Drosophila melanogaster: one gene and its partner. The protein of the gene in region 2 interacts with the protein of the main gene of each other region in a pairwise test. Each region holds a gene or a part of one and is shown on either strand. Other genes may lie near its edges. The genes, in order: PHDP and CG13742.

What was found.
Region 1: the proteins of CG13742 (region 2) and PHDP interact in a two-hybrid assay, tested with the Drosophila melanogaster proteins (one large-scale study listed by BioGRID).

The regions. Positions count from the first base shown.
Region 1 is NT_033778.4:23,882,372-23,886,217, forward strand, and holds PHDP (putative homeodomain protein), read right to left. Parts: upstream 2,070-3,846; 5' UTR 1,942-2,069; coding exon 1,665-1,941; intron 1,570-1,664; coding exon 1,376-1,569; intron 1,108-1,375; coding exon 916-1,107; 3' UTR 765-915; downstream 1-764.
Region 2 is NT_033778.4:9,084,068-9,089,821, forward strand, and holds CG13742 (uncharacterized protein), read right to left. Parts: upstream 3,566-5,754; 5' UTR 3,564-3,565; intron 3,504-3,563; 5' UTR 3,491-3,503; coding exon 3,239-3,490; intron 3,184-3,238; coding exon 3,020-3,183; intron 2,954-3,019; coding exon 2,847-2,953; intron 2,747-2,846; coding exon 2,526-2,746; intron 2,466-2,525; coding exon 2,311-2,465; intron 2,260-2,310; coding exon 2,148-2,259; intron 2,026-2,147; coding exon 1,878-2,025; intron 1,826-1,877; coding exon 1,654-1,825; intron 1,651-1,653; exon of another isoform or gene 1,598-1,650; coding exon 1,297-1,597; intron 1,256-1,296; exon of another isoform or gene 1,235-1,255; coding exon 677-1,234; 3' UTR 633-676; coding exon of another isoform or gene 595-632; 3' UTR 535-594; downstream 1-534. Other genes in the region: CNT1 (concentrative nucleoside transporter 1), read left to right, coding at 1-293, 354-534, 595-632; Dbp45A (DEAD box protein 45A), read left to right, coding at 3,844-3,919, 3,975-4,516, 4,575-4,741, 4,799-5,157, 5,224-5,377, 5,441-5,708.

The DNA of each region.
Region 1 (3,846 bases), about 15 Mb from region 2:
ACATGCAGCTGGCCAAAAGAGCAACAAAATCCCTAGCGCGTTCGCCAGTTAATACCGCAGATAGCGGTATTTTCGTATTCGAAAGCATTGAGGGTATTTCGACTTATAATATGTTGCTTTTTCCGGGAACGATGGAATTGAAAATGTCCTTGGAATATTTGAATAAAATAATTAATTTGAATTCTTTTATTCTAAATGAAAAAACACATAAAATAATCAAATCAAATTGCAACAAAACTATTTAAAAAACGGAAGAGTACGTTTTATATATAGTTAAAAGGCTAAATGATATTTGTATATTTATGTATATATTTAATATCTGTATATACGTTTCACTAATGAAGTGTAGAAAAATGTAAAATGAACAACGATTTCACAGTTTATTAAAATCATTCGAGGGTGTTGAAAGGCGGGCACTACTTATAAATTGCAATATTAAGTTATACATCTGGGCACATATGATTTCAATAAACTGCAATTCAATCTTGATCTTGTTAATTAGATCTGAAAGGTATTCACCGCCAATCCCTGCGGTGGGCACTCCACAACAATTGCTATATTGAGCGCACCGAATCGCCACCATCAACTGATTACACGCCCTAATGCCGATCCAATCCACTTTTTCCACCCGATAATGGGATGACAATTTACCCCTGAAGGGCGTGAGGTTTGGTACTTGTAGATGGTGACCCTTCAACCCCCATTCAAGTCCTTGTTTTTCTTCCCACAGGCTTAGCCGGCTGAGCCCTCAAAAGGGTGCTAAGCCAGTTGTCCCGGATGATATGAAAACAAGCAAAGTGTTACACAGATCTTATTTATTTAACGCAATTCGCTCCAAATAGTCAGTAAAAATAATATCAAAATAACTGCATTCATCAAAATGTATACTAATATTTACATAGATATTAGTGGATTCTATATTTGATCGTATAAGCATTTCATTTGACGGCCATGGCCATTCTGGGGTCCCTTGAGAGATGGGCCCAGGTATTTCGATCCTGCTACAGGATTCTTCCGGCCATCCAATTTGCTCGACTTGTCCTTCATTATGTAAATGGCATGCCTCTCCTGCTTGCGAAACTTGGCTCTTCTGTTCTGGAACCAGACCTAAAACACACAATGGTTTTTTTTTTTTTTAATTTCGATTACTAAGTCGTTTTGTATCCTTCAACAGGATATGACTAAATTCGTTTCGATTGTAAGCTGGCTTCGAGAAACCTATAATATTTGAACCTATCAACAGCAGATCGAGTTCTTTTCAATAGTTATATTATATTATGTAAGTATTATTTGTTATATGTTAATTATTGAAATATGTGTATCCTAAACTACCCACTCACTTAACCAGCAATTCAATCTCATTAGTTTTCCTCACCTGAACTCGAGCTTCCGTCAAGTGCAGCTTGGATGCGATCTCTTCCCTGGTGTAGATATCTGGGTAGTGGGTTTCCAGGAAGATCTTCTCCAGCTCGTTCAGCTGGTTGGACGTGAAAGTGGTGCGAATGCGCCTCTGTTTTGATTTGTCGGTCAGGCTCAAGCCGTCGTCTCCATAGGACTTCAAATGGAAGTCTATGGCGAGGTGAGAGTTGGTTCAAGATTACAATCCATAATCGATCCATCCAGGTGCACTGGCTGCAGGTGGAACTGATGGCCACTGTACTTACCCGTGTTGTAGGAGCCAATGTTATGGGTGGCCGGGTAAAACTCGGAGACAGTGGTGATTTTGGAGAACAATAAGCTCGACTCCTGGTTGAGGGAACCCCGGATTGCGGACTCGTTGGCGCAGAGCTTGTAACTGGAGTCAATCATGAGGTTGTAGTGATTTATGTGATTGGCCACGGAGAGTCCTCCTCCATTGGCGCCGCTGTTGTAGAACTCCGAGTTCGCGGTGTACAAACAATCCTTGTCGAAGTTCGCCTTGTTGAGCAGTGAAAATTCCATCGCATCTGCAGGTAAATTCACACACGGCACTCGATTGAAATTTTACAGCCCGCTAATGAGTCATTCGGCCATAAAACACATAGTTATAGTAGCTCCGCGGCCGCACACACTTTTAACTGCCCTTGAATAAATAAGCTTCGATTACGATTGTATCAACTACAGGACATCCACGTTGGACGAACAAGGATGCTGCACTTGTCTCGGGAGAGCGGGACGGAAAATTTCATTCGTTTCCGCGTTTGGAGGCGGTCCTAACGAGCTCCACTCGACATAGGGGTGGAAATCTGACTTTCCGGCGCGTGTCGTGCACTGCGCGAAAATTCACCGCATTTCCCCAATTGACTTGTCACAGCATGTCTAAAGAATTGGTTTTGGTTTTAATTTCATTGATTGCATCGCTGTCTGTTGGCTCTGATCTAATCTTCACTCAGAAATCTTCTTTTCAATGAATATTTCTTCAAAATCTGAATATTTTCCAAGCTCCATCTTTAAGCGAACTTTTCTTTGAGTGCACCAATTTTCACAGGCCTCAAAAAGCAACACTCAGAAGATTAAATTGGCTTATCGGGCAACCATGACGCTGGGATGTCCTGTCTGAGCGATTAAAGGAAATGCTTCTCTGGGATAATATAAAAAGTAAGAAAAATGAAAATCCTCTTTACGTTGCAATAACTCTTAAGGAACAGCCAAAGTAACATAAATTATAAAATATATTTAAACTTCATATATGAAATGGAAAGGGTATCGGACAGTCCGTCATCACGAGTACAGCACTTCGCCAACTTGATAAAACAAATGGTGTTGTACCGCACACAATGGATAAGAGACACCTTACTATCTTTTCTTGTTTATAACATTGGGCTGATTGAAACATTGTTTAAAGTCACTGGCAGGATACAACCCCTGTTTTCGGAAACAATTATTTGCTCTGCGGATTATTTCGATTAGTTAATTCCTGCTAATCAGAGTCCTGCCTAATTTTTATTTACTCTGCGCTGAAGTCCTTTTTTTTTTGGACACCCTAATGCTGGATTGCTAATAGGATAGGCTGGTTGTTCCATGTGCTGAAGCCATTTAGTTAAATTTTCAAAGAAAAACAGTTCCAAATTCAATGTATCTATCTTCGGAAACAATTTCATTGGGATCAGTTTAGTCAAACATACGAGGTAAAAGTTTAGAATGTGCCTCTTTTTCCAGTTGAAAAATGGTCTTAGTTGCCTTTGTGGATTTTACACATTTGCATGGTAGAGTGAGCCTTTTCTTTTCTTAATCAACGAATTGGAACGACTAAGTCTCTAGGAAAACAAAGCCACCTAATAGATGCACATCATGCTCAAACTAACACTCGTGCAAAAAGAAACTCTACTTTGTAGTAATCATTACTTAAATCGCAAGTCTATGTAAATCGGAGAATTGTTATGGCAATCATAATAATACAACATTACGACATTCCGAAAGTTTTGGAATAAGTTACTGTGTTACATTTTAGGTTAAAATATATCCAATATATGTGTAAAATTATAACCTTTCCAATTGTAATTGTATCAAACGCAAAGATATGAACTCATTTTACATTTAATAAATAGTATAGTAACCAGATGTTGGAGGTGATCGACCTGAACGAAACCCACCTGCATTGTTTGCTTAACCCGATCTCAAACCCACCCCGAAAATCCTGTAAAAACAGCAACATATTATTTAGTTATAGAGCATCTAAATGGGAAGCTAGTTTAAGTAGGTTTCAACCTAGTTGTGGGTGCAAATGAGCCTGGAACTACATGCATCGAACAAGTATCAGGTTCTATTGAGTCATTCTGAAAACAACTAACGTTAGTTTGGAAAACATAAAGTAAAGAAAAAGGGTTTATCATGCATAGGTGTGTGTTGCACTTACACACTAACTTG
Region 2 (5,754 bases):
GAGCTGCAGCAGCCTTGTTGATTGTGCTCGGAATCGTCTCGAATATCATCGCCTTCCTAGCCATTGTGTTCTTCCTAGACGCTGTAACGGAGTGGATTTTCGAGCTAATTGGACTGCATAACATCACCCTACTCTACATTCTCTCCCAGATCTTTATCCCGATTGTCTTCGTGATGGGCGTGCCGTGGCACGATTGTCAAGCAATTGGCCTGGTGGTGGCCCAAAAGTCGTTCATAAACGAGTTTGTGGCTTATAGAAACCTGGGCATATTGGTTAGCGATAAAAAGGTTGATGTGAGTACCCATCTGCATATTCTATTCTTATAGATTATTTTAAAACTAGTATTCTTATAGCCGCGGAGCGCTGCCATAGCCACTTTTGCCCTTTGTGGGTTTGCCAATCCCGGATCCCTGGGCATTGTCATCGCTTCGCTGAGTGCAATGGCACCATCCCGACGATCAGACATCACCAGGGTAGCCTTTCGATCCTATTTCGCAGGCAGTTTCGTTAGCTTTACATCCGCTTCGCTTGCAGGTAAACTGTCTTTATTTACACGTTATTTTTAACCGCCTTATCGCACAACATCTTAATTAGGGATTCTTATTCAAAATGAGTACACAGGTGGTAATTAATTGATTTAGGTAAGTGAGCGATACGAAAAGCATAGAGCAGGGAGCTAGGGTACAATTCCACTCAAATTGGCCATTACCTTCTTGAGCAATTCCCAGTCGGCAGCATCGAAATTCGCGGTGCACTGGGTCAGTTGAAGAGAAGCCTCATATATATTACGAAGGATTTCTTTAGGCGCCAATTCACTCCGTCGACGTTTTAGACTAGAGACCGGACATTTATGATCTCCATGGCGAATGTAGCTTGATTTACTGAGATCAAATGAACCGTCGACAACAGTTCCGGGTTCGACATGCAATGCCTTAAACAATGGGTATATTGCATGGCGGGCACTAAATGCTCTTAGTTGGGCGTCATCGCTGACTTTGCAGGAGTCGAGGAATTTCTCGCGATACCAGTTTGTGCATCCAGCATTTGGAGGCAGTCCCCTAAGTATAAGTAATTTGGTGGATCCATTCGCACGCGCTAGTAGTTTGAAGTAAACATTAGCAAAGCTAATGCTCTTGTCAATGCCTAAAAGTTTATTGGCCATTTCCGATGTCCGCTGAAACCAATGGGAACAGTCGATTTGATCGTGGTGCACCAAAAGTTCCAGTAGAGCAACCTTTGGGTATAAAAAATCAAGGTATGTATATCCATTTTATAAGTGTACTTCTACTTGCTTACCACTTCATAGTACAACTCAACTTTTGTGGGCGCTGAGGTGGAGATGAGTTCTAAGCGCTTCAATATCTTCATTCCCACGTGGCCATCTGATTTTGCGACGACAGACAGGTGCCGGAAGTTTTGAATGCTTATGACAGGAAGTTCCTGCTTTCCCAAGCAGTGGAAGTACCTAAGGAATCGTTGTACATGCAATTGGCTTGGATTTGTGGAAAACATGGCGTAAGAATTATTGCACTTATGCCAGTGAGCCATAGCCTCTTTTATGGCATGATCTGTCCAGCATTTGTTGGCCTCTTTTAGCCTAAAAACATAGAATAGTGAAATAAATTTTAAAATGTATGATTTATAATTACTAACCGAAAGCACAGCATGAGAATATCCGCACACACTTGCGATGTAATAAAATCCTTTTGAAATATGCCGGCACAGAAATACCTATGTAGTTCTATGTTACCCACTAAATACAAAAGACAACCAAACGCATCCAATACTTGATTATAGCGTTCGCCGTGAACAAAATTTTTAGCATCTGTGGGCTCAGTAAGTAGTAAGAAATAAATATGATCGAATCGACACCTTACCTTTAAACAAATATTCAAAAGTTTGTTGTAATGTTCGGCAAGTAGATGGGAGCACATCCGCATCGTCTGTAGACACAGCATTAATAAAATCCATGCAAGCGTCGAAGTAGTCAAATTTTGGTGTACCAAGGACACTGGATATTAAATACTAAAAGGACAAATTTTAGTAACATTAACAAAATCTGATGATGTATTGTATGAATGAATAGTTTTCAATCAAAGTCTATCCGAAGACATTTATTTGCAAGCGATTTCTGAATTTCATCTTACTTCTTGACATTTTTGGAACTTGTAAAGCAGCTCTAAAATATCTAGTACATGTGGTCGTACTAACACAGAAATTAGCTGTTGCTTCTCGATGTCAGAGTAATGTGATGGCCTCCTAAAAGAAAATACAATTATTGCAAATAACCATTTCATTTTTCAAACTTACGTTCGTTCACACATTATTAAGTCCATCAGACAAACAGCTACATCATCATCAACATACACCACACCTTTTTGAAGAATATGATATAACAATACAATGTAGGTCCTGATACCATCTACAAGCTCCTCTAACTTTTCCGCAGGAACAATACGATTGTCCTAAAAAAAATGTCTTGTTAAATAAACTCTTTTACAAATCGTAAGCTTTGTTATACGAACGATGTCAAAAGTACTATTCAAGTGAACGGTAACCACATCACATAGATGAAAAACAGTTTCCCTAAGCCAATTGGGCAGTTTTTCGTCTGTAGGATTAGCATGCCAGGTTGTCATGAAGTGCAAGCAAATATGAGCCAACGTCTCGCCTGTCTGTACAGATAACTGCAGATCACCAGTGCGTGTTCCTTCGGTATCTGCGATTTCCATTATCTTTTGCATCACTGACAATTGTTTAATATAAAGTCTATAATTAGTCTACAACAACTTTCAGATAATACTCAAATTTTTGGGTGTATCAATTCGTTAGTATTCCTAACTTACAGGTCGCAAGGCGAGGGTGGACTTCTGTCAAATTAATGATAGAATCCTTTATTAAAGAAAGCGTTTCGAGTTGAAGATCCGCAACAATCTGGCGATGACTCTTATCGCTGAATGATGTAAGCAAAAATATATAGAAATATTTTACATATAGGTTTTATCCAAGCCCCTCTTACCACATTAAACAGAAGTCGATAATTGTAAAGACAAGATAGGCAAGGATTTGAACCAAACGTTCGCCTGCTTCCAGCAATCGATCCCTGAATGTGGATACAAATTCTTGTGCCACAGACATGAGTTTTATATGACCGCTGTGGACTTCATTGCCAGTTTCTGCTTCCTGAGGACGAATTTAAAGTTAATAGACTGAAGCGCATTGTGTAAGAATTACCTACGATCGTGAACCACTTGCACATTTCCCGAGCTGCTAGTACACAATACCCGGAATCGTCGATGTATGCTCCTAATAGTTTGGTGAACCACAATGTCAAGACATCCACAGGATTCGCGGATTTATTTGCGATACATGCTGAGCAAATGGAAACCGCCGAATCAAAGTCTATCATCAGGATGATGTCCTTCTGGTCTATAGCCACCAGCTCACTGTAGGCTACAGATGCACCCAGGCTATCATGGTTTTCGGACATCTTTGCATTGAGTCTAAATCGAAATATTCAGTGTGTTTACAAAATGATCGCGCCCATAGATGCGGAATCTTACCTGTCTAGAGCGTGACTATTGTCGATTAATTATAAAATGTATTATTAATTTTATAGTGAATTTTTTCTTATTACTCGCCAATAATTCTGCGGTTGAAGTAAATAAAAAATTTAATTGAATTTAAATTAAAAATGCGTACTAAATACAGCTAACCACTCACACGGAGCAAAAATTAAAAACGTATCGATAGTTATATACCGATACAGAAGACAATACTTCCATCACTAATACAGCGCACGTTGTTTTCCTTTTTTATTTCGTTGTATTTTTATTTACCGAAATGCAACGAAAGGAGGCCAATCCCTTTCAGATCCTGGGCCTACGTCCATGGTTGGTTAAGCAGCTGACCAAGTTGGGTAATGTCAAGCCGTCCACGGGTTTACCCAAGTAATTAAACCATTGCGCTTTCAGGCCTGAAGGGAGCAACTCCAATCCAACAGAAATGCATCCCAGCGATATTGGCGGGCCAGGATTGCATTGGAGCTGCCAAGACGGGCTCGGGCAAGACCTTCGCCTTTGCCCTGCCCATTCTGGAGCGGCTGAGCGAAGAGCCAGTGAGCCACTTCGCCCTGGTGCTGACGCCCACGCACGAGTTGGCCTATCAAATCTCCGAGCAGTTTCTTGTGGCTGGACAGGCGATGGGGGTGCGCGTATGTGTTGTCTCTGGCGGCACAGACCAAATGGTCGAGAGCCAGAAGCTTATGCAGCGACCGCACATCGTGGTGGCCATGCCCGGCCGTCTCGCGGATCACCTAACCGGCTGCGACACCTTCTCCTTCGACAATCTGAAGTATTTGGTTGTTGACGAAGCGGATCGCATGCTGAACGGAGACTTTGACGAGAGCCTATCCATCATTGAGCGCTGTTTGCCAAAGACAAGGCAAAACCTTTTCTTTTCCGCAACCATGAAGGACTTCATAAAGGAGTCCAGCATATTTCCCATTGCCAGCGATGTAAGTTTTATGAATACCCTGTTGAATGGTACTAATAGATATCTTAATCCGAATGTAGTGTTTTGAATGGTCGCAGGACTCAGACGTGGCCACTGTAGAGACTCTGGACCAGCGTTATCTGCTGTGCGCCGACTACGATCGCGACATGGTCTTAATAGAGGCACTAAGAAAGTATCGCGAGGAGAACGAAAACGCTAATGTCATGATCTTCACCAACACAAAAAAGTTAGTTGCACAATAATAGGAAGTAAATTCTAAGGATTTAATAACGAATCATTTTAGGTACTGTCAGCTTCTCTCGATGACACTGAAGAACATGGAAATCGATAATGTTTGCTTGCATGGTTTCATGCGGCAAAAGGAGCGCGTAGCTGCTCTAAGTCGCTTCAAGTCCAACCAAATACGTACACTGATCGCTACGGATGTGGCCGCCAGAGGTCTGGATATACCCAGCGTCGAGCTGGTTATGAATCACATGCTTCCCCGGACACCAAAGGAGTACATCCATCGCGTAGGCAGAACAGCAAGAGCGGGGCGCAAGGGCATGTCCATCTCCATATTCCGCTTTCCACGCGATCTAGAGCTTTTGGCCGCCATTGAGGAGGAGATCAACACCAAACTTACAGAGCATCCCATCGATCGTAAGTTTTGTTGGAATTAGTGGCACACAAAATAACTATCTTTAATATATATATTATATAAATTAGAGCGCATGGTGGAGAGAATCTTTATGCAAGTAAATGTCACGCGCCGTGAATCAGAGATGCAATTAGATAATAACGATTTCGACGAGCGAGCGCAAAACTATAGGCGAAAGACGTGGATTATGGAGGGGAAGGACCCCGACCAAATGGAAGCTTTGTAAGCAGTGGAAAATACGCATATTCGTTGTATTTTATAACAATTTTTGTATCCCATCCACAGGTATCGTAAAAAACAGAAGGATAAACTAAGGGAAATACGCCGAAAGAGAAAACTGCAGCACGCAGAGCCGGCAGCCAGCGAAGAGGGCAAAGCTCTCCTACAGGACGAGCGTTTTAAATCTGTAGACAGTGCGAGGTTTGAGAAGAAGGGAAAAGGACGAAGTAGAGCCACCCAAGAAGATACCCCAACCAAGCCACTGAAAAGGCTTAACAAAGAAAAACCAGTTGCCCAAAAGGGCAGAGCAGATGTCAAGAAAGATAAAGCGTGATGTTTAAATATACTTTTATAAAATAACAAAATAACTTTTGAGCTTA